Callithrix jacchus: one gene and its partner. The protein of the gene in region 2 interacts with the protein of the main gene of each other region in a biochemical or structural test. Links are inferred from orthologs where the notes say so. Each region holds a gene or a part of one and is shown on either strand. Other genes may lie near its edges.

The links. The genes of interacting proteins can lie anywhere in the genome.
Region 1: of the proteins of ARIH2 (region 2) and CKB, one has a biochemical effect on the other in vitro, tested with the Homo sapiens proteins (2 studies listed by BioGRID). The link is inferred for Callithrix jacchus from reciprocal best matches to the Homo sapiens genes ARIH2 and CKB.

What each region holds. Positions count from the first base shown.
Region 1 is NC_133509.1:138,348,307-138,358,820, reverse strand, and holds CKB (creatine kinase B-type), read left to right. Parts: upstream 1-3,972; 5' UTR 3,973-4,046; intron 4,047-4,303; 5' UTR 4,304-4,315; coding exon 4,316-4,508; intron 4,509-4,631; coding exon 4,632-4,786; intron 4,787-4,868; coding exon 4,869-5,001; intron 5,002-5,371; coding exon 5,372-5,543; intron 5,544-6,160; coding exon 6,161-6,284; intron 6,285-6,427; coding exon 6,428-6,617; intron 6,618-6,695; coding exon 6,696-6,874; 3' UTR 6,875-7,067; downstream 7,068-10,514. UniProt on the Homo sapiens protein: Reversibly catalyzes the transfer of phosphate between ATP and various phosphogens (e.g. creatine phosphate).
Region 2 is NC_133516.1:31,592,707-31,602,447, forward strand, and holds part of ARIH2 (E3 ubiquitin-protein ligase ARIH2), read left to right. Parts: intron 1-3,176; coding exon 3,177-3,294; intron 3,295-4,273; coding exon 4,274-4,324; intron 4,325-4,414; coding exon 4,415-4,436; intron 4,437-7,831; coding exon 7,832-7,983; intron 7,984-8,989; coding exon 8,990-9,133; intron 9,134-9,741.

The sequences.
Region 1 (10,514 bases), on a different chromosome or scaffold from region 2:
GTCCCTGCCCTAGCTGGGCCAGGAGCTGAGAGCCCCCAGGAGTAAGATGGTGAGAGGCCTTCCATAGCCTCCCTCTCTATGGGCTCCTATCCCTGTGGGGCCACCACGCTGGCCACCAGATGCTTCTACATCTGCTTCATGGCCTCCCTGCCTTCTGCTCTCAATGTTGAGACAACCCAGTCCCATCCATGGCTCCCCAACCTCTGTTCCAGCAGATGCTTCTCTCCCTAGATGATGCACCTGCCTGAGTTACCCCCTAATTGCTTCCCTGGGGGATTCTGACTTTGTTTCTCTTGGGCTTCTCTTCCCCAGCCTCTCAGCTGTGGTGTAAAGTCGGCTGCCTGCATGGACCTGAGTTACGATTTGGTGACTTGGCGGTGGTTTCCCTTGGTTCCAACTTCCCACTTGCTTCTCTGTCCATTACTGGCTGGCCAACTCCTCTAGTGCCCCCTCCTCCAGGCAGCCTTCTCAGCCCAGCCCATCTGCTCCATCTGAGCTGCCCCAGTCCCCAGCCTGAGTCCTCAAGCAGAACCAGCACCCCTACCTCAGCTGATGATCCCCTGCACAGTCTGTACTATGGCTCCCCACAAGGGCTGATGCCGTATATGCCCAGCTGGGTCATCTCACTGAATTCTCCCCTGGATCCTATGAGGGAGGGAATAGTTTATAGATGGAGAAACAGAAACTCAGAGAGGTTCAGTAACTTGCCGAAGGTCACAGCCAGTGAGGTCAAAGTGGGATTAGGATTTCACCTTGTTGACCAAGATGGTCTCGATCTCTTGACCTCGTGATCCACCCGCCTCGGCCTCCCAAAGTGCTGGGATTATAGGCGTGAGCCACCGCACCCGGCCCAAGACCCCATCTCTTAATTCATTAAGAATTAAAGCCAGTAAACTGGCTTCAGAGAACCAATGGTGGATCTGAAGAAAGGTGGGAACAGGCAGGAAGGATGCTCACGGGGGAGGCTGCTCTGTCCACGCCCCTGGCAGGGACCACGTCACTGCGGTCCCTGCCTCTATGACCAGCCCAGTCTCCTGCCCTACTATGCTCTGTGACCCTGTCAGCCCCTGCCCCTCTCCTGACCTCAGCCCACTTCCTCTTCGGGTTCTGCAGAACTCAGGGGCAGGGCACTGAAGGAGGCGATGCTGCCTCTGCTGTGCCCTGGGAGCAGACTCCAAGGATGGCCCCCCGAGCTGCGTCATGTTCTGTGAATAAAAGGCCTGGGCCTCCTTTGAAGCCCCCTCTAGGCCCAGTGGTTCATGTGTAACCAGGTGTGATTTCTGAGGAACGTGGGCCAAACACTGGCCTGGCAACATCACCAGCCTTCAGCTCCTTGGGCCCTCGGGAAGGCAGGGTTCTGCAGACGGGGCAGGTGAGCTGGGGGAAGGCCGGCACCTTCCAGACCCTCCCCTTGTGCCCCTGCTCTGCGGGCCTCTAAGGCTCCCAATCAGCTCCTGCCTGGGGGGTCTCAACCCTGATACTTGGGTCTCACCTGCTGCTGCTGCCCCATCACAGCTGCCTGGCCTCTGCCCCGTCGGTCGGCCCCAGGCAGCTGGCACAGGGCTGGCACTCTTCGAGGGTGGAGGGGTTGCTGGGCCTATAACTGGACACTTCTGTCACCCAACTTCTGATATGTCTGCACACTGAGTCCAGCTGGGCAACACAGCGCGACCCCTGTCTCAACAGAATAAAAGCAAAAATAAAATGATCTTCTGTCTGCACACTGGGGACAAAAACACCCACCTCAGAAGGCTGAGGGTTGCCAGCAGCCCCAGGCCGGACCCACCCCACTGCCCAGCTCACTGCTTGCCACGGGCAGTCCTGCTCTCCAGACCTCAGCTCTAGTTCTGACCTTGCCTGTGGAGGGAAGGGGAAAGGGGGTCCTTTCCCATGGGGACCTGGGGAAGCAGGTTAGGCTCTCCGCCAGGAGGGTGAGAGAAGGGAGGGGTGGCCTGAGAAGCTGCAGATGCTGAAGACAGAGGAAATCCTGAGTGTCCCCTCAAGTCCCTCCCTCCCCCAAGTCAGCCTCCAGGGGCTGCAGCTATCCCTTCTAGAAACAGAAACTTAAGCCCTTCTGGCTTTGTGGGGTTGGGGGTGGGCAGCTGCAGAAATGTCTAAAATTGGGGAAAGAGGCTGCAGGGGGCACAGAGAGCAGGAATTCCAGGCTTAAGGGACACCTGCTGTCTGGCCAGCCCAGAGGGGCCATTTGCCTTTTTACATGGGTTTGTTTGATTAGTCTAAAAAAGGCCGGCTTGGAACAAGACAAAGCATGCCAAGCAGGGAAGAGGCATGTGTCTCCTCTTCAGTGACCACAGGGATGGGGTAGGGCCCCACAGCCAAGCAGGGAAGAGGTGTGTCCTCTGCAGTGACCATGGGGATGAGGCAGGGCCACACGCTGATGCTTCCCCTGCCTTTGCGCCTTGGCTCTGGTGCCTTCTCTTCAGAGGCACCTATTCAGGGTCTCTTATGCCTGGAACTGCTGTGCCCTGTGTCCCCCCCAACCCCAGCAGCACTGATCTCCTAATGTCATCTGGTTTGCCGGGCTGCTGGCTCATGGCCAGTCTTCCTCCAGCAGCAGGCACTGTGCACCTTGCTGCCTGCTGTATCCCCAGCAGCTGGCACTGGGCAGGTGCTCACTGTGCCATTGCTGGAGGAGTTTTTGTCAAATATACCCAAAGATAAAGGTTCCCCACTTCCTGGCTTTAGTCACAGAGCAACATATGAGGGTCGTGGATAGATATTAACTCCACATGCTCCACCTCCCCTCTTACCAGCTGCATAATACTCCACAGCAGGCAGATGCCTTCCCACTCTGGGCCAGTCCAGCCTGATGGGCATCGGCAGGTATCCAGAGGTGTGTGTTTTTCCCTTCACACATCTCCTGGTCCATTAGTGGAGAGAACTGAGACATCCCTCCTAAGGGCTGCATTCCTAGAAGTGGGATTGCTGGGTCACAGAGTTTGAACATTTTTTAATGTTAATAGATTCTGCCAAATTACCTTGCGAAAAGCATGCAGCAATTCAAGTTGCAGGCAGCATGTGGACGCCTGTCTCCCTGCATTCCAGCTCATAGCCAGCACTGGCTGGGGTCGATCTGGGAGTGTTGAGGGTAGAGACAGGTGGAGTCACTGTTTAATTTGCATGATTCTGGTTATCTGTGAGACGAGTTTTTTTTTTCTTTTTTAATCGTACCTATGCTTATTGTTTATTAGCATTTCCTCCATCCTTGCCTGAAGTCTCTGGAGACCGCCTTTGGGGGTCGGGAGAACTTGTCCCCTGCGAAGAGGGCCTGGGGTTGGTGTCTGGAAACTCCGAGGCTGCACTTGCCGGCGGTCTCTTAAGGCCACAGTGTCCCAGTGATTTCTGCCCCGCATCCCCCGGAGCCCCAGGACTTGTCCAAGGTCAGGGCACCGCGGTGCCCCCGGGCTGGGCCGCAGCCAGACTACACCTCCCGCGTGCCTTCGCTTTGCACCAAGATCGCCCAGGAAATGCCTGCGGGCACCTTGAGGAAGGTCAGCGGCTCCAGGCCAGCTCGAACGTGGGGTGCGGTCAGTACCTGCTGCAAAAGCCCTTAACGCTTCCGCCTGGCCCCTCACCGCCGCCGCCGCCGCGGGGGCTGGCTGGACGAGGCGGGCAGGCGCGAGGATGCGGACGAATCCGAGCGTCCTCGAGTGCCCGGAGATTCTCCGGCCTCAGTTTCCCGGTCGGAGGCAGGGCGCGCGAGGGGATACAAATAGCTAAGGACCTGAGGTTTCGGTTTCGAGGTCTTGGGCCGGCGCTGGGCAGGCTGCGCGGGGTCCCGGCGAAGGGACGGCTCGGGTGGGCGGCCGGGGGGTGTTGGGGGCTGCGGGCGGCGGACAAAGCGGCGGCACCACCCCGCGGCGCGGGCCAATGGAATGAATGGGCTATAAATAGCCGCCAATGGGCGGCCCGCGTTGCACCCCTTAAGAGCCTCGGGAGAGCGTAGCGGCCGCTGTTCGCCTGCGCCGCGCCCGGAGCTGCTGGCCGACGGAGCGACCCCGCCCCCGCCCCCGCACGGACGCCCGGTGAGTGGGCCGGAGGGCCGGGGGCCGGGGCGTCCGTGCCGGGGCGAGGGGCGCTGAGGCGTCACGCGCTCGGAGCGCGCGCCCGATCGGCCGGGGGTCCCCGGCAACGGTGGCGCTCCCCGCGCGCGCTGTGGACCCCGCTAACCTTGGCCGCGTCCTGGGGGCGCCGGGGGAGCCGGCGGCGGGGCCCTGAGTGGTTCACGGGAGCCCGGGAAACCCTGCGCGCCCGTCCCCGCTGACCCCGCGTCTCCCCGCAGCCCGCAGCCGCCATGCCGTTCTCCAACAGCCACAACACGCTGAAGCTGCGCTTCCCGGCCGAGGACGAATTCCCCGACCTGAGCAGCCACAACAACCACATGGCCAAGGTGCTGACCCCCGAGCTGTACGCGGAGCTGCGCGCCAAGAGCACGCCGAGCGGCTTCACGCTGGACGACGTCATCCAGACGGGCGTGGACAACCCGGGTACGCGCCCCCTCGGGGCCGGGGTCCCGGCGCCCCCTCCCCGCGCGCGGCCGCAGGGTCCTCAGCAGCGCGCTAGGGCCCGGCCGTGACGTCACTGTCCCCGTCCCGCGCCCCCTCCCCCAGGCCACCCATACATCATGACCGTGGGCTGCGTGGCGGGCGACGAGGAATCCTACGAAGTGTTCAAGGATCTGTTCGACCCCATCATCGAGGACCGGCATGGCGGCTACAAGCCCAGCGATGAGCACAAGACTGACCTCAACCCCGACAACCTGCAGGTGCGGAGCGGCCAGCGGGCGCTCGGGCGGGGCGAGCCGCGTTTCCGGGGTCTCCCGGCGCTCACTCCCGTCTGGCCCTCAGGGCGGCGACGACCTGGACCCCAACTACGTGCTGAGCTCCCGGGTGCGCACGGGCCGCAGCATCCGCGGCTTCTGCCTCCCCCCGCACTGCAGCCGCGGGGAGCGCCGCGCCATCGAGAAGCTCGCGGTGGAAGGTAGGGGCCGGGCGGGCCGAGGGTCGGCGGCAACCGCGTCCCCGTCCCGGCGCGGTCCCCGCCCGCTTGTTTATCAGCCGCCCGGGAGCGGTCGCCGCCGCCACGCTTTTATCTGCGCGCGCCCGGGTTCAGTTTCCCCGAGGGACCGAGGTGCCGGCGGCCCAGCCCCGCGTCCACAGCGGCCTGGGGCCCGGGGAGGGAGCGTTCTGGCGCGGGGTCACAGCCTCGGACCGTCGCCCGGCTCGTGAGGAGTGGACGCGCGCAAACCCGGGCGGGTGGGGGCCTCTGACGTCCCCTGGTGCGGGCGGGTCCGCGATGAGGGTTGCGGGGCGGGCGCGGGGTCCGAGCGTCCTGAGCGCGCCCCCCGCAGCCCTGTCCAGCCTGGACGGCGACCTGGCTGGCCGATACTACGCGCTCAAGAGCATGACGGAGGCGGAGCAGCAGCAGCTCATCGACGACCACTTCCTCTTTGACAAGCCCGTGTCTCCTCTGCTCCTGGCCTCGGGCATGGCCCGCGACTGGCCGGACGCCCGCGGCATCTGGTGCGTATCCCTTTGCGCCCTCCTGCGGCGTCCTCCCTCCTTGCCGCCTCCCCTTTCCCTCTCGCCCCGCTCGCTCGCAGCGAGGAGGAGGGAGGGGCCGCGCTCCGAGTCTGGGTTCGTTGCCGCCCCGCCCTCCGCATAGGTGACCTTGGCCGCAGGTGCGTTAAGGGACTGGGCCGGTGGGGACTCCTCCCTCCATGCCAGGAGGGGGGGGCGAGGCTCGCTGGCGCCTTTCCCCCACGCCCCTCGGGAGCTGGAGCTCCTTGTTTTCTCTTCTTTCTCTCTTCCGCTGCTGGGATTCTACCAGGAGCTGGTGACGCAGAAGCTTCTCCAGGGGCAGGGCTCCTACCCCCACTGGGGGTGGTGGTGGGCAGGGTTGTCCTGGCGGTCCCTGGCCCCGCTCCATCTCAGACCACAGCACATGATGGTAGCGGGGGTTCTCCTGCTCTCTGAGGCTTTCCGTTCCCCGCCTGCCCCGTGTTGGCGGTGGAGTCTTGGCAACAGCCGCTACTCCTGGGCACGGCTGAGAGCAGCACCTTGGGGCCTTGGGAAGTTCCTGTGGTCTGGACGGCCTGGGGCTTTTTTCTGGATATGCCCTGAGATCAGCCCTCCCACAGGCACAATGACAATAAAACCTTCCTGGTGTGGGTCAACGAGGAGGACCACCTTCGGGTCATCTCCATGCAGAAGGGGGGCAACATGAAGGAAGTGTTCACCCGCTTCTGCACCGGCCTCACTCAGGTGCCAGGGATGGGGCAGGTCCAGATCCCAGGGCTCAGGCAGGGACGTGGGTACCCCATCGGTCCCCCTGGGGGATTTCCGGGACTTGGGGCCTGTGGTCGTCTCAGGCAGGCCTTCCCACTCACACCCTCTTCTGTCTGCAGATTGAAACTCTTTTCAAGTCTAAGAACTATGAGTTCATGTGGAACCCTCACCTGGGCTACATCCTCACCTGCCCATCCAACCTGGGCACAGGGCTGCGGGCAGGTGTGCATATCAAGCTGCCCCACCTGGGCAAGCACGAGAAATTCTCGGAGGTGCTTAAGCGGCTTCGACTTCAGAAGCGAGGCACAGGTGAGCAGGGCAGGTGCTGTGGGCTTCCTGCTGGCCCTTGGGCAGTTGTTCCCTCCCCCTGACCTGCTGTCTCCCCAGGCGGTGTGGACACAGCTGCGGTGGGCGGGGTCTTCGACGTCTCCAACGCGGACCGCCTGGGCTTCTCGGAGGTGGAGCTGGTGCAGATGGTGGTGGACGGAGTGAAGCTGCTCATCGAGATGGAGCAGCGGCTGGAACAGGGCCAGGCCATCGACGACCTCATGCCTGCCCAGAAGTGAAGCCCGGCCCACACCCAACACCAGCCTGCTGCTTCCTAACTTATTGCTGGGCAGTGCCCACCATGCACCCTGATGCTCGCCGCCTGGCGAGCCCTTAGCCCTGCTGTAGAGACTTCGTCACCCTTGGTAGAGTTTATTTTTTTGATGGCTAAGAAACTGCTGATGCTGAAATAAACTAGGGTTTTGGCCTGCCTGTGCGTGAGTGGTGCCTCTCCTTTCCCAGGGGGCAGCAGCCAGGCCCCAGAAGTGAGTCCTGGGCCTGCTGTGGGCCTCGCCTTCTGTGAGATGGGACAGCAGCCAGCAGGTGGCCACTGTGTTCTGCCTGCCCCACCTAGTCCATGGGCCCCTTCCCTCCTGTCTCCCAGGAACACTGAGGGCAGTGAGGGAGGAGCTCTGAGCATCTGAGGGCATTCAGGCCTGGGGTGTGGAGCCTGGCACGTTCCTCAGGCCTTACAAAAAACACCCCATTCCTTGGCTCATGGCCCCCATCCTGCAGGGTTGGGGGGGGTAGGTAGGGATAGTGGGGGTGACGGGTTGAGCCCAGAAACTAGAGCTTTCCCATTCCTGCAACCAGGTTCCTCCTCCAGTCTTCCAAGCAGCAACATCATCAGATCCAGGCATCTCCCTGCCTCCCTCCTATCTCCCCAACACATACTCTCTAGCTTCCCCCTGCTTCCTTCCCTCCCAGCCTCTGCCTCCAGGCAGAGCTCCCCAGCCCCACTGGTCCCCCCTTCACTGCCAGCCTCCTCTTCAGGGGCCTCTGGGTGTCCAGCCCTTTGGTCTCAAGGTGGGACCACAAGGTAGGGACCCTGGGGCAGAAGGGGGTTGGGCTGTCTAGAGCTTCGTCTCCCTGGTCCCGATGCAATCCCCTCCCACTACAGTTGCCAGTTGCTGCTGTCCCTGCCCAGCCTCTGGCTCAGAGTTCCTACCATGGTTGGGCACCCTGAGGGGCTCAGCCAGCTCAGGGAATGGAGGCGGACAGGTGAGCCAGCCAGGGCCTAGGAATCCTGCATCCCATCTTCCAGCTCCTAAGCTCCAAGGATGCAGCCTGTGCTGCCACCTGCTGGCCACGGCCGCCTCCACCCCACCCCTGGGGATCAGGGTCTGGGGCAGGCCTCATTCCCTATCTCTACGCCCACTGCATCCCTGGACTATAAGTGTGGATCACTGGGCTCTCACCTCCTTGGGACATGAAGGGCTTGTCAACCTAGACACTGGGGCTCAGGAGCAGCAGTGGCGTGCATCCTTGAATCGGCCACAATGGCCATCTGGGGTGTCTAGAGGGCCCTCCAGGCTGGGAAGGCTCCAAGGAGGCATTAGCAGGAAAGCAGCTGGGCTGGGCGCCCGGGGGGCCCTAAGAGCAGGGTTGACTTAGAGTGTAGGCTAGGCACATGGGGGGCAGCCGGTCCTCTCACGCAGAAGGCTGGGGGCACTTCTGCATCCATCTTTTGGGCCCTGGACTGGGCCCTCCCTGGCTGACCAGGGGCCAGTTTCTGGCTTAGCCTTTAGCTAGGAAGGCCTAAGCCAGGCCAGGCTGGGGTCGTATAGTCTGGAGTCTCGGGAGAAGGGCTGGGATGAGAAGCCCAAGGTGAGTACAGGAAGCAAGCCCCCCCGGAAAGGGGAGGTTGAGGGCAGTGAGGAAGGGACACAGACCCAGTGGGGACCTGGCCACTAAAGCCCTCCTGTCTTGCTGTGTCACCAGCTGAGGCTCCCTGTGAGCAGCTTGGTGTGGGGCACTATCAGAATGTGGCATGAGCCTGGCCAGGGACATGGCACCCCTCAGTGAGGCAGGGGTCTCTAGGCCTGCCTGTGCTCCACCCCCAGGGGACCCCGTCAGTGCTGCCCTCCCTCCTGCTCAACAGCTGCTGCAGCTGCAAGCCCTCCTGCTGGCCCAGTCCCCCTCACCGTGGCGTGAGCAGAGCCAGCCTTCCAGCCTGACCATCGCTGGGGTGGTGTGGCCCCAACTCCAAGGTGAACACAGGGCTGAGGGCATGGCTGCGCAGGCCTGTCACTTGTGTTTCAACATTCCCATTTTCCTGTGCAGACCCTAGAGTGGGGCACTCCTAGAACCACCAGTGGGCAAACAAATGGAACTGCTAATCACCCCGTGCAGGCCAAACACACTGCCCGGAAGGCCGAGGGCTGGGCCTGGCTCAGCTCAACTTCTTTCTGAAGCAGTAAACTCTGAAGGTAGGTGGTGCCTTGGCTGGCCTGTGGCGCCCACAGGGCCTGGACCCCCAACTCTCCTGGGCCCACTGTCTTCCCTGTGCCTCCCATATTTTACCTTGCTGCATTCATTCTTTTGGGGACCAGGCAAGGCTTAATATACACTCCCTCGGCAGGTGAGTGGCGGTTCTGCCTGCTAGGGCCACCAGTTCCCCGGAACCTCCAACCACAGTCTAGACAGCCTTCCTCTTCCTCTGACTCCGGAGACTTGAACAGGCAAGTTTAATTCTCCTTGAAAGCACTGTGAAACGTGGGCAGCAGAGGACAGTATCTAGGGGTGGCAGGGATGCTGGAAGACGTCCTGGGCGCTGGAAACATCTCCCTGCAGGGCAGTCTGGCTACACCAAGCCCTACCTCAGCTTTCCTCCTGTCACTCAGGGATTTCCCAGCTCGGGAATGAGTCTACGGCAGGTTTCCACAGTGGCGCTCCAGACACTTGGGCCAGACAACTCTGGTGGGGGCCATCCAGCAGCAGTCCTCGCTTCCCCAACTTGTGACAATCAAAAATGTCTAGACATTGACAAATGCCCCTTGAGGGGCAAAACAGTCTGCGTCTTCAAGTCCCGTTGCCCTACAGAAGTAACAGATACAATTACTGAAAACAGGGGAACTGTAAGGGAGATTTGCTGACACTGAAGCCGCTGCGGCCCTGCCCCTCCTCTGGGGTCCTGTGCAGACAGAACGACAGTGTGAGGAATCTAGTGAGGTGGTGACATGCTGAGAAAAGCTCGAGTGCAGAAGCAGGTTATAAAACAGCTTGTGCTCTGAGATCCCACACAGAGTATGTATGGAAAAACCCCAAAGAACAGTAGTCACTGTGGGGGTGGGGTAACAGGTGATTTCCTTCTTTATACTTTATTCTCCAAATTTTCTACAGGGCACATGTATTACTTATATAAGCCAAATTAATTTTTTAATGTTTTGTTAAAAATGTTCCAGTCTGTGGAAGCCCACGGAAGCTGCAGCAGGACTGTACCACTACCACAGCCTGAGGCCCCCCAAAGATGGGGAAACTCAGGCTCAGAGAGGCAGAAGGACCGGCCACCTAGCTCCAACTCCTGGGCTCTTTTCACTACTCTTTTAAGAACATGCTAGCCTCCCACAGTTGGGACCTGCTTGTCTGAGCAGTGGCTTAAAAGGCTGCACATGCCCAGCAGGCTTCTGGATTTCTATTTTGAGCCAGCTGGGCACTTCCTGAAGCCTCCTAGAGCACCCTCGGGGGTTGTACATTGGACTCACATGGATGTGAAGTTAATCTCCTTTTCTACAGGTAAAAAAAAAAATAGTTTGATTGGCAAGTCTTCTGGCTGTGAGGTTTCCACTGAGCACATGACAGCATTTCAGCTTAGAAAAGGGAGGCTTTTTTGGTACTGCTGAGAAGGCTGAGGCTTTTTTGAGATGGAGTTGTGCTCTT
Region 2 (9,741 bases):
TGGCCCAGAGATTGTATGAGGATGTATCTACCTGCATAGCTAATCACATATTACTGTGTTGGAAAGGTACAGTCTTCAAAAATTTAATCTTTCTCTGTCTTGGTCTTTCTTGGCTAATTTTTATTATTTGTTATTTATTTATTTATTTTGAGATGGGATCTCACTGTGTCATTCATGCTGGAGTGCAATGGTGCAATCTCAGCTCACTGCAACCTCCACCTCCCAGGTTCAAGCAGTTCTCCTGCCTCAGCCTCCAGAGTAGCTGGGACTACAGGCAAGCACCACCACACCCAGCTAATTTTTGTATTTTTAGTAGAGACAGGGTTTCACCATGTTGGACCAGGATGGTCTCCTGACCTCATGATCTACCCGCCTCAGACTCCCAAAGTGCTGGGATTATAGGCGTGAGCCACCATGCCCAGCCTTCTTGGCTAATTTTTTATAAAACTAAGTCATAAATATATTCTACATCTACTCAGGGTTCAATTCATTCAGTACATATCATGGGAATAACTAAAGTTTACTGAAGGCTTACCAGGTGACAGGCACTATACTCTGATCACTTTTCTTGCATTATCAAAACTGTATATTACCCTTACAGTCTTTTTTTTTTTTTGAGACAGAGTCTTGTTGCTCTGTTGCCCAGGCTGGAGTGCAGTGGTGTGATCTCTGCTCACCACAGCCTCTGCCTCCCAGGTTCAAGTGATTCTCCTGCCTCAGCTTTCTGAGTAGCTGGGACTACAGGCACATGTCACCACACCTGGCTAATTTGTGTATTTTTAGTAGAGAAAGGGTTTCACTGTGTTGACCAGGCTGGTCTCGAACTCCTGACCTCATGATCTGCCTGCCTTGGGCCTCCCAAAGTGCTTGGATTACAGGCCTGAGCCACTGCGCCCAGCCATGACCCTTATATTCTATGAAGAAATCAAGGTGCAAGGTAAACCTAGTAAATGGTGGAGCCATAATTTAGGCCCAGATCTGTCCTAATCACACCTACCTGGAGTATTCATGATGGGGCTTCAGAGAAACTGCATGGAAGATGTAATGTGTGTGTGCACATACCTGTGTTTCAAGACGTTGACACCAAAGGTTAAGAATCACTAATGTGGGATTTTTTTCATTTTAAATTAGGCAGCCCCCAGGATTACAGCAGATTCAGAGAGACTCCTTGTAGTTGTTCTTTATCCTTCTGTCCCACTTTATGAACTCCTTTCCCTGGGTACTGCCTGAGGGCCTTTTCTAGCTGCAAAGTACTATTGGTGTGCACAAAACAAAAATTTAAAATATGGAAGCCTAGCTCGACATATTGGAGTGTCTTTCTTTTCTGTTTTAAATTTCAGGGTCATCAGATGTATCATGACCCTACAGATTTTGCAGGTTCTGGCATTTGTGCATCTTTGTGTGCACGTCTGGCTGGGAGATCAGATGAGACTCCCAGAAGTAGATCACAGTCCTGCCTTAGGTCTGAACTAAGGAATCCTTCTCAGAGTACCTCACCATGCCCTTTGAGAGTCATAGCTCTGTGTTTGACATTCTGAGGGTTGATAAACAAGATGTTTAAACAGAAATATATATATATATATATATATATATATATATATATTTTTTTTTTTTTTTTTTTTTTTTTGAGACAGTCTTGTTCTATCACTAGGTGTCAGACTGGAGTGCAGTGGTGCAATTTCGGCTCACTGCAACCCCTGTCTCCCAGGTTCAAGCAATTCTCCTGCCTCAGCCTCCCGGGTAGCTGGGCCCAGCTAATTTTTGTATTTTTTGAGAGACATGGTCTCTTCTGTGTGGCCCTGGCTAGAGTACAGTGAAGTGATGATTGCTCACTGCAGCCTCAAACCCCTGGGCTGAAGCGTGCCTTAGCCTCCCAAGTAGCTGGAACTACAGGTGTCCAGCTAATTTTTTTTAATTTGTTGTAGGAGCCAGGCGCAGTGGCTCATGCCTGTGACCCCAGCACTTTGGGAGGCCAGGGTGGGCAGATCACCTGAGGTCAGGAGTTCAAGACTAGCCGGGCCAACATGGTAAAAGCCTGTCTCTACTAAAAATTCAAAAAATAGCCAGGCTTGGTGGCAGGTGCCTGTAATCTCAGCCACTCTGGAGGCTGAGGCAGGAAAATCACTCGAACCTGGAAAGCAGAGGTTGCAGTGAGCTGAGATCATGCCATTGCACTCCAGCCTGGGTGACAAGAGCAAAACTCCGCCTCAAAAAGAAAAAATTGTAGAGACAAAGTCTCCTTATTTCCCTAGGTTGGTCTCAAACTCCTGGTCTAAATTAGTCTTCCTACCTTGGCCCCACAAAGTGCTGGGATTATAGGTGTGAACTTCTGCACCTGGTCAACAGATCTTTTTTTTGTTTTTTTTGAAACAGGGTCTCTCTCAGTTCCCACACTGGAGTGCAATGATACGAACATAGCTCACTGCATCCTTGACCTCCAGAGCTCAAGGGATCCTCCTTCCCTAAACTTTCTAGTAGCTGGTACTATAGGCACATACCACACCTGGATAATTTTTTATTTTTTTGTAAAGATGGAGTCTCATCATGTTGCCCAGGCTGGTTTCAAACTCCTGGGCTCCCAAAGTGCTAGGATTACAAGCATGAACCACTGCACTCAGCCTACAGACACATTTCATTTGTGCACGTTAGAGCATGTCTCATAAGGGCTTAAATGAAAAGACATTCGTGCAGCTATTTCAGTATAATCCTAGGTAAGTAAAGGTCCCATAGGCCTTGAGAGATAACTTTATCTATTTGAAAAGCCCTAGGCCGGCATGGTGCCTCATGCCTGCAATCCCAGCACTATGGGAGCCCAAGGCAGGTGGATCACTAACTACGTCAAGAGATCAAGACCATCCTGGCCAACATGGCGAAACTCCGTCTCTACTGAAAATACAAAAATTAGTTGAGTGTGGTGCCACGCGCCTGTAGTCCTAGCTACTTGGGAGACTGAGGCAGGAGAATCTCTTGAACCCAGGAGACGGAGGTTGCAGTGAGCTGAGATTGTGCCACTATATATGCCAGCCTGGCAGTGGAGTGAGACTGTTACAAACAAAAAAAAAAAAAAAAAAAGAAAAACTAAATTCATGATTTGTTGGTTTGGATAAAAGGAAAATTTTAAACATGGGACCCTGACTTAATAAATATTTGAATGTTTTTCTTTTCCAATTTGTAAGTTTCAAGTGTCGTCAGATGTATCATGCACCCACAGACTGCGCCACTATCCGGAAATGGCTCACGAAGTGTGCAGATGACTCTGAAACAGCCAACTACATTAGTGCTCACACTAAAGACGTAAGGACCCTATTTTACCTCTCATGGATCTACCCTCTTTAGTGGTGCCCAGGGCCTTGCCTTGGAGATTTGCCATCTGAGAGCAGAATACTCAGAGCCCCAGGGTGCATTCTGAGGACTGGGGGTTGGGGACCCTCACGCAGACTTGGCACCTTTTAGCAGTTTATCATCAGATGCATTGGGTGCATTTTTAAAAATTATGAAATGCCAAAATTCCAGGAAAGTTTGACCCAAAGGGGGAACTAATTAGAAGAGAGCTAATTATGATTGAATGCCTACCAGCCTTTAACAGCCTTGGGAAGGAGGTGGTTAATAGCTACACCTGGTGCATAGTAAGGCTTTAATGCAAACCTAGACCTGCACAATACTCATTTTGAAGTTTTCCGTGGGAAAATATGGCCTGTGGGCTCTAGAGGCCGCCGTACCCTTTGTCAGTCACTCACAAGCACGGCTGTGATAATGACATCATTAAACATAGTCTACTTCACAGCAGTGCCAGATCACAGAATCAGATTGGTCTCTGCATTGCTGCCTCAGGTTGCTGGCATCTATCAAATGAGAGAGAGGAGCTTTAGATGTGGATTCCTTGCCCTCTTCTTAAAGCAGAAGTCCAGGCAAGCTGACAGGGACTGAATCCATCGTGGCAGCTCCTGTGCTTCCTTGGCAGTCCTCTCAAGTAGGCAGGCTTTTTGCTGATTCAGCCTGTGCTTAATCTGAGCAGCTTCATGGTAGGGGCAGATAATGGAAGACTTAATGGGGCTCAGCTGGTGCTTGAAGTGTTTCAGAGCCAAATATACTGACCTCATTTCCTTGAATTGCTGTTCCACCCTCAGCGACCTGCCACATTTAAGTGAGATACTCCTCCCCAGAAGTGCTCACATGATGAGCGACTGGGCACAGGTGTTGGGAGCTTTGTGTAATTTGTCTTAAAACCAGCCTAGTGGTATATGAGCCTAATGGCACCCTTCTGTCTCCTCAGTGTCCCAAGTGCAACATCTGCATTGAGAAGAATGGAGGCTGCAATCATATGGTAAGCAGAAGCCTGTACACTTTGCATGTGTGACATGGAGCCTTTGGTCATTGTGCCCTTAACATGTTCTCTTCTGTTTTCCTCTGACAGCAATGCTCCAAATGTAAACACGGTGAGTTCCAAGCTTGGTATGTAAGGCCCAGTGGCATTTTCTTGTGCTTGGGTCTTCGTTACTATTTAAGTGAGTACTTCTGCCATGAAATGACAAAACAAAGAAGAGCCTCATTCACTTACAGTCACAATAACTGGCATAAAGTAGCTTATTTTATTTTTTGGTCCCTCTTATAACCCCACTACTATCTTGCTAACACATATAGTCAGAAGTCAAGTTTGGGATAATCCTCATGATCCTCAGTCATCCAAGAAGATGATTTCAGGGTGTTGCTTTCATTCTTTGCCAAGGCTGGTAAGTAGCTTGGGGCTTATCTGTGCTACCTTAGAGATACCTTTACCAGAGGCAGTAAAATAATGCTTTTCTCTTGCTGTTTTACAAAGTTTATAGAGGGGGTTTTGATTTAGCATTTCAGACCTCCTTTATCGATCAGGAGTAGTTTACATAGCTAGAACCAATTGGTTTTGCATGGCTTCCTGCCAGGTCAACTGAAGAAACAGAATCCCTTCAAGTAGAAAATATGTCGAAGTAGGTCTCCTACACAGACAGCTGCTTTGATGCTTATCAGGAGCCCCCGAGAGTTTCTACTTTTTTTTTTTTTTTTTTTTTTTTTTGAGACAGAATCTCTGTTGCCCAGATGGGAGTGTAGTGGTACGATCTCTGTCTCCTGGGTTCAAGTGATTCTCTTGCCTCAGCCTCTTGAGTAGCTGGGATTACAGGCATATGCCACCATGCCCAGCTAATTTTTGTATTTTTAGTAGACATGGGTTTTGCCACGGTGGCCAGTCCTGACCTCAGGTGATGCACTTGCCTTGGCCTCCCAAAGTGCTGAGATTATAGGAGTAAGCCATTGTGCCTGGCTGAGAGTTTTTGTTTGTAAGGGCCTGTGTGAATGCTATTCCCAGGAACCCTCTTTTCTTTTTTCTTTTTCTATTTCTTTTTTTTTTTTTTTTTGAGATGGAGTTTCACTCTTGTCACCCAGGCTGGAATGCAATGGCACGATCTTAGCTCACTGCAACCTCCACCTCCTGGGTTCAAGCAATTCTCCTGCCTCAGCCTCCCTCCCGAGTAGCTGGGAATACAGGCACGCACCACCATGCCCAGCTAATTTTTGTATTTTTAGTAGAGACGGGGTTTCACCTTGTTGACCAGGATGGTCTCGATCTCATGATCTTGTGATCCACCTGCCTCAGCCTCCCAAAGTGCTGGGATTATAGGTGTGAGCCACTGTGCCCAGCCTTCTTTTTTTCTTTTGAGACAGAGTCTCGCTCTGTCACTCCCAGGCTGGAGTGCAGTGGAGTAATCTTGGCTCACTGCAATCTCTGCCTCCCAGGTTTAAGCAGTTTTCCCACCTCAGCCTTCTGAGTAGCTGGGATTGCAGGTGCCCACCAAGCCTGGCTAGTTTTTTGTATTTTTAGTAGAGAGAGGGTTTCACCATGTTGGCCAGGCTGGTCTCAAACTCCTTACCTCAGGTGATCCGTCTGCCTCGGCCTCCCAGAGTGCTGGGATTAAAGGCGTGAGCCACCGTGCCTGGCCTTTTTTTTCTTTTTTTAAAGATGGAGTTTTGCTGTTGTCACCCAGGCTGGTGTGCAGTGGTGTGAACCCATCTCCCGGGTTCAAGCGATTCTCCCTCAGCCTCCCCAGTAGCTGTGATTATAGGCGCCACCACCACGCCTGGCTGATGGGGTTTCACCATGTTGGCCAGGCTGGTCTCAAACTCATGGCCTCAGGTGATCTGCCTGCCTTGGATTCCCAAAGTGCTAGATTACAGGCATGTGCCACCACGCCCAGCCCGAAGACCCCTCTTAATCAGAGTGGTCATGGCAGGGTCTTAACAACATTGACTCTGCAGTGCCAAACGAAGATAGGCCATAGGTAGTGGCATATTTCTTCTGTGGGTCCACACTCTTTCTTTCTCTTTTTCTATGTATATATCAGAGAGGGAAGTGTATCATAGACTTAGAACAATGCAAAAGACACATACAGCTTAAAGAATAATGACAAACACCCCAGCACCCACTACATTTTTAGTGCCTAAGAAGTCCCCGGGTGTCAGTATCCCTTGACACCCAGAGTTAACTGCCATTTCATGAGAATCTTGAACCCAGGAGGCAGAGGTCACAGTGAGCTGAGATCGTGCCACTGTACTGGCTAATTTTTTTAAGTAGAGATGGGGGTTGCACCATGTTGGCTGGACTGGTCTTGAACTCCTGACCTCAGGTAATCCACCCGCCTTAGCTTCCCAGAGTGCTGGGATTACAGGTGTGAGCTACTGCGCTCAGCCAAAACAGAATAATTCTGAGTATGAACCATTGGATTGCTCTTGGTTTTATAGAAATGTGTTCTTTGGGAGGCAGAAATGGGCAGATCACTGAATGTTGGGAGTTCGAGACCAGCCTGGCCAACATGGTGAAACCCCATCTCTACTAAAAATACAAAAATTAGCCAGACGTGTTGGCGGGCACCTGTAATCCCAGCTACTCTGGAGGCTGAGGCAGGAGAATCACTTGAACCTGGGAGGAGGTTGCAGTGAGCTGAGATCGCACTACTGCACTTCAGCCTAGGGGACAGAGTAAGACTCTGTCTCAAAAAGAATAGGAATTGTGTTCTTTAAAACAGAAAAAAAGGGAAAAAGCCTTTATTATTAGCTTTCGATACAGAAATCTTTCTAGGACTACAGAAATCTTTCTAGGACGAATGTGATGGTAGGAAGCAGTCGGGAGGTCAGTTTTTACTGATGATGTGTTTAGACAGGTAGTCCTCAATTGGATGAGTTCCTGCTTCTCATTGTGGCATTGACATAGCAGACCAGTAGTCTATGGTCAGCATCTGCCTGTGTTAGATTAATAAGGCACATGGCACATGTGCTGATGGAATAGAAATTATCCATAAGCTGCCATGTGGAGTGGCTCTCAAAGCCTGTAATCTTAGCACTTTGAGAGGTCTAGGTGGGCAGATCATGAGGTCAGGAGTTTGAGACCAGCCTGGCCAACATGGTGAGACCCTGTCTCTACTAAAAATACAAAAATTAGCTGAGCATGGTGGCATGTGCCTATAATCCCAGCTACTTGGAGAATTGCTTGAACCAAGGTGTAAGAGGTTGCAGTGAGCTGAGATTGCACCATCACACTCTAGCCTAGCAACAGAGCAAGACTCCATCTCAAAAAGAAAAAAAGAAATTATCCATAGGCTATTGTTCATATCAGCAAGTATAGGCTATAAGGACAGTAGGATATGACAGGGATGAGAGGTGCACATTCCTTCTGGAAAGAGGCACCCTTGCGAAGTTCTTTTCAGGTGACCACTTTGGAGCTGGGTCTGTCTGTCTCACTCTGCCTTTGGAGGAAAGTGGAGTTGTCTTGTGGATGTAAAAGACTTTTCTCTGTTCTGTACAGACTTCTGCTGGATGTGTCTAGGAGATTGGAAGACTCATGGCAGTGAATACTATGAGTGCAGTCGTTACAAGGAGAATCCTGACATTGTGAACCAGAGCCAACAAGCCCAGGCAAGGGAAGCCCTCAAGAAGTACTTATTCTACTTTGAGAGGGTAGGTGTCCTCTTCTGTACCTTCCCCTACAGGGTTGGCTTCTTCCACTTGGCCTGTTGGGGTGGGATTCCCATGGACTGGTAGCCAGAGCCAGCCTGTACACATAGAAGTCAGTGAATGGAGCTCCTGCGGTATCCCTGGGTGCTGCCTGTATAGATGTGCCTTTCAAGCTCTACAGGGTATCCCCAGCCAACAGGGAAGGAACTGGTACTGACCTTGGTTGAATGATGGTTTTTTTTTTTTTTTTTTGAGACAGAATCTCTCTCTGTTGCCCAGGCCAGAGTGCAGTGGCATGATCTCAGCTCACTGCAACCTCCATCCCCCCCGGGTTCAAGTGATTCTCCTGCCTCAACCTCCTTAAGTAGCTAGAACTTCAGGCGCCCACCACCATACCTGGCTAATTTTTGTAATTTTTAGCAGAGACGGGGTTTTGCCATATTGGCCAGGCTGGTCTTGAACTCCTGACCTTGTGATCTGCCTACCTCGGCTTCACAAAGTGCTGGGATTACAGGCGTGAGCCATTGCGCCCAGCCAAATGATTGGTTGAAGGACAGTGAAGGGCCATCAGATAGTCTTTTCCATCTAGTGCCATTTTTTTTTTCTTTTTTCTACGTTTTAAATTTTTATTCATTTTTTTCTTTTTGTCCTCACAATCTGTTCCCATAGTATCATCTCAGTAGTCATATTTGGAAAGCAGTTTCTCCTTTCTGAAGGAGCCCTTCAGAAGCCCAAAGAGCACATTAGACCATTAGGGACCTAGCTTTGCATAGTCCTCAGGGCTGGAGTCCCATTGCTCCAGAAAGGTAGTGTGATCTGGCAGGCATACAGCTGCTCTGGACAGGTTAGAAGGATGGCTGAAGAAGACCTGCTCCTGCACACATTCTCCATAAGTTAGAGGAGTCCGTGGCCATGTCTTGCCATCAAGGTGTCTATCCTCAACTCCTGTGTAGACCTCTGCACCTTTGTGGGACTCCTGTGGTTTTCTTCTTCTTTCTGTGCCCTGTAGTGGGAAAACCACAACAAAAGCTTGCAGCTAGAGGCACAGACATACCAGCGGATTCACGAGAAGATTCAGGAGAGGGTCATGAACAATCTGGGGACATGGATCGACTGGCAGTACCTACAGAATGCTGCCAAGCTCTTGGCCAAGGTATCTACCACTTCACTCATCCTATCCCTGCTCCAGTGCCTGGCCCCATCGGGCACAGACCTCTGAAGGTGGGAAGCCCTGCTGGGAGAGGGTATTTTAGCACCCTGTGCAGCGTTCCACACTTCTGCTTGTGGATCCACATCTTCATTTGCTACGTCCATCAAGGACCCAGTTCTCTGCTGGATGTCCCAGGGATTTCTAAGAGTGTTGCACTGCCTCTGCCTGCAGGGAAAACTAGAGCCCTTTACTTCTCCTTTGTCCTGTGTATGCATTACTCCAAAGGAAAATAAAAGATTTTCTGAAGGGTTAGGCATGGTGGCTCACACCTGTAATCCCAGCACTTTGGGAGGCTGAGGCAGGCAGATCAGTTGAGGTTAGAGTGGATCACTTGAGGTCAGGAGTTTGAGACCAGCCTGGCCAACATGGTGAAACCCCATCTCTACTAAAAATACAAAAATTAGCTGGGTGTGGTGGCACATGCCTGTAGTCCCAGCTACTTGGGAGGCTGAGGCACGAGAATCCCTTGAACCTGGGAGGCAGAGGCTGCAGTGAGCCAAGATCATGCCATTACACTCCAGCCTGGGCAAGAGAGCAAGACTTTGTCTCAA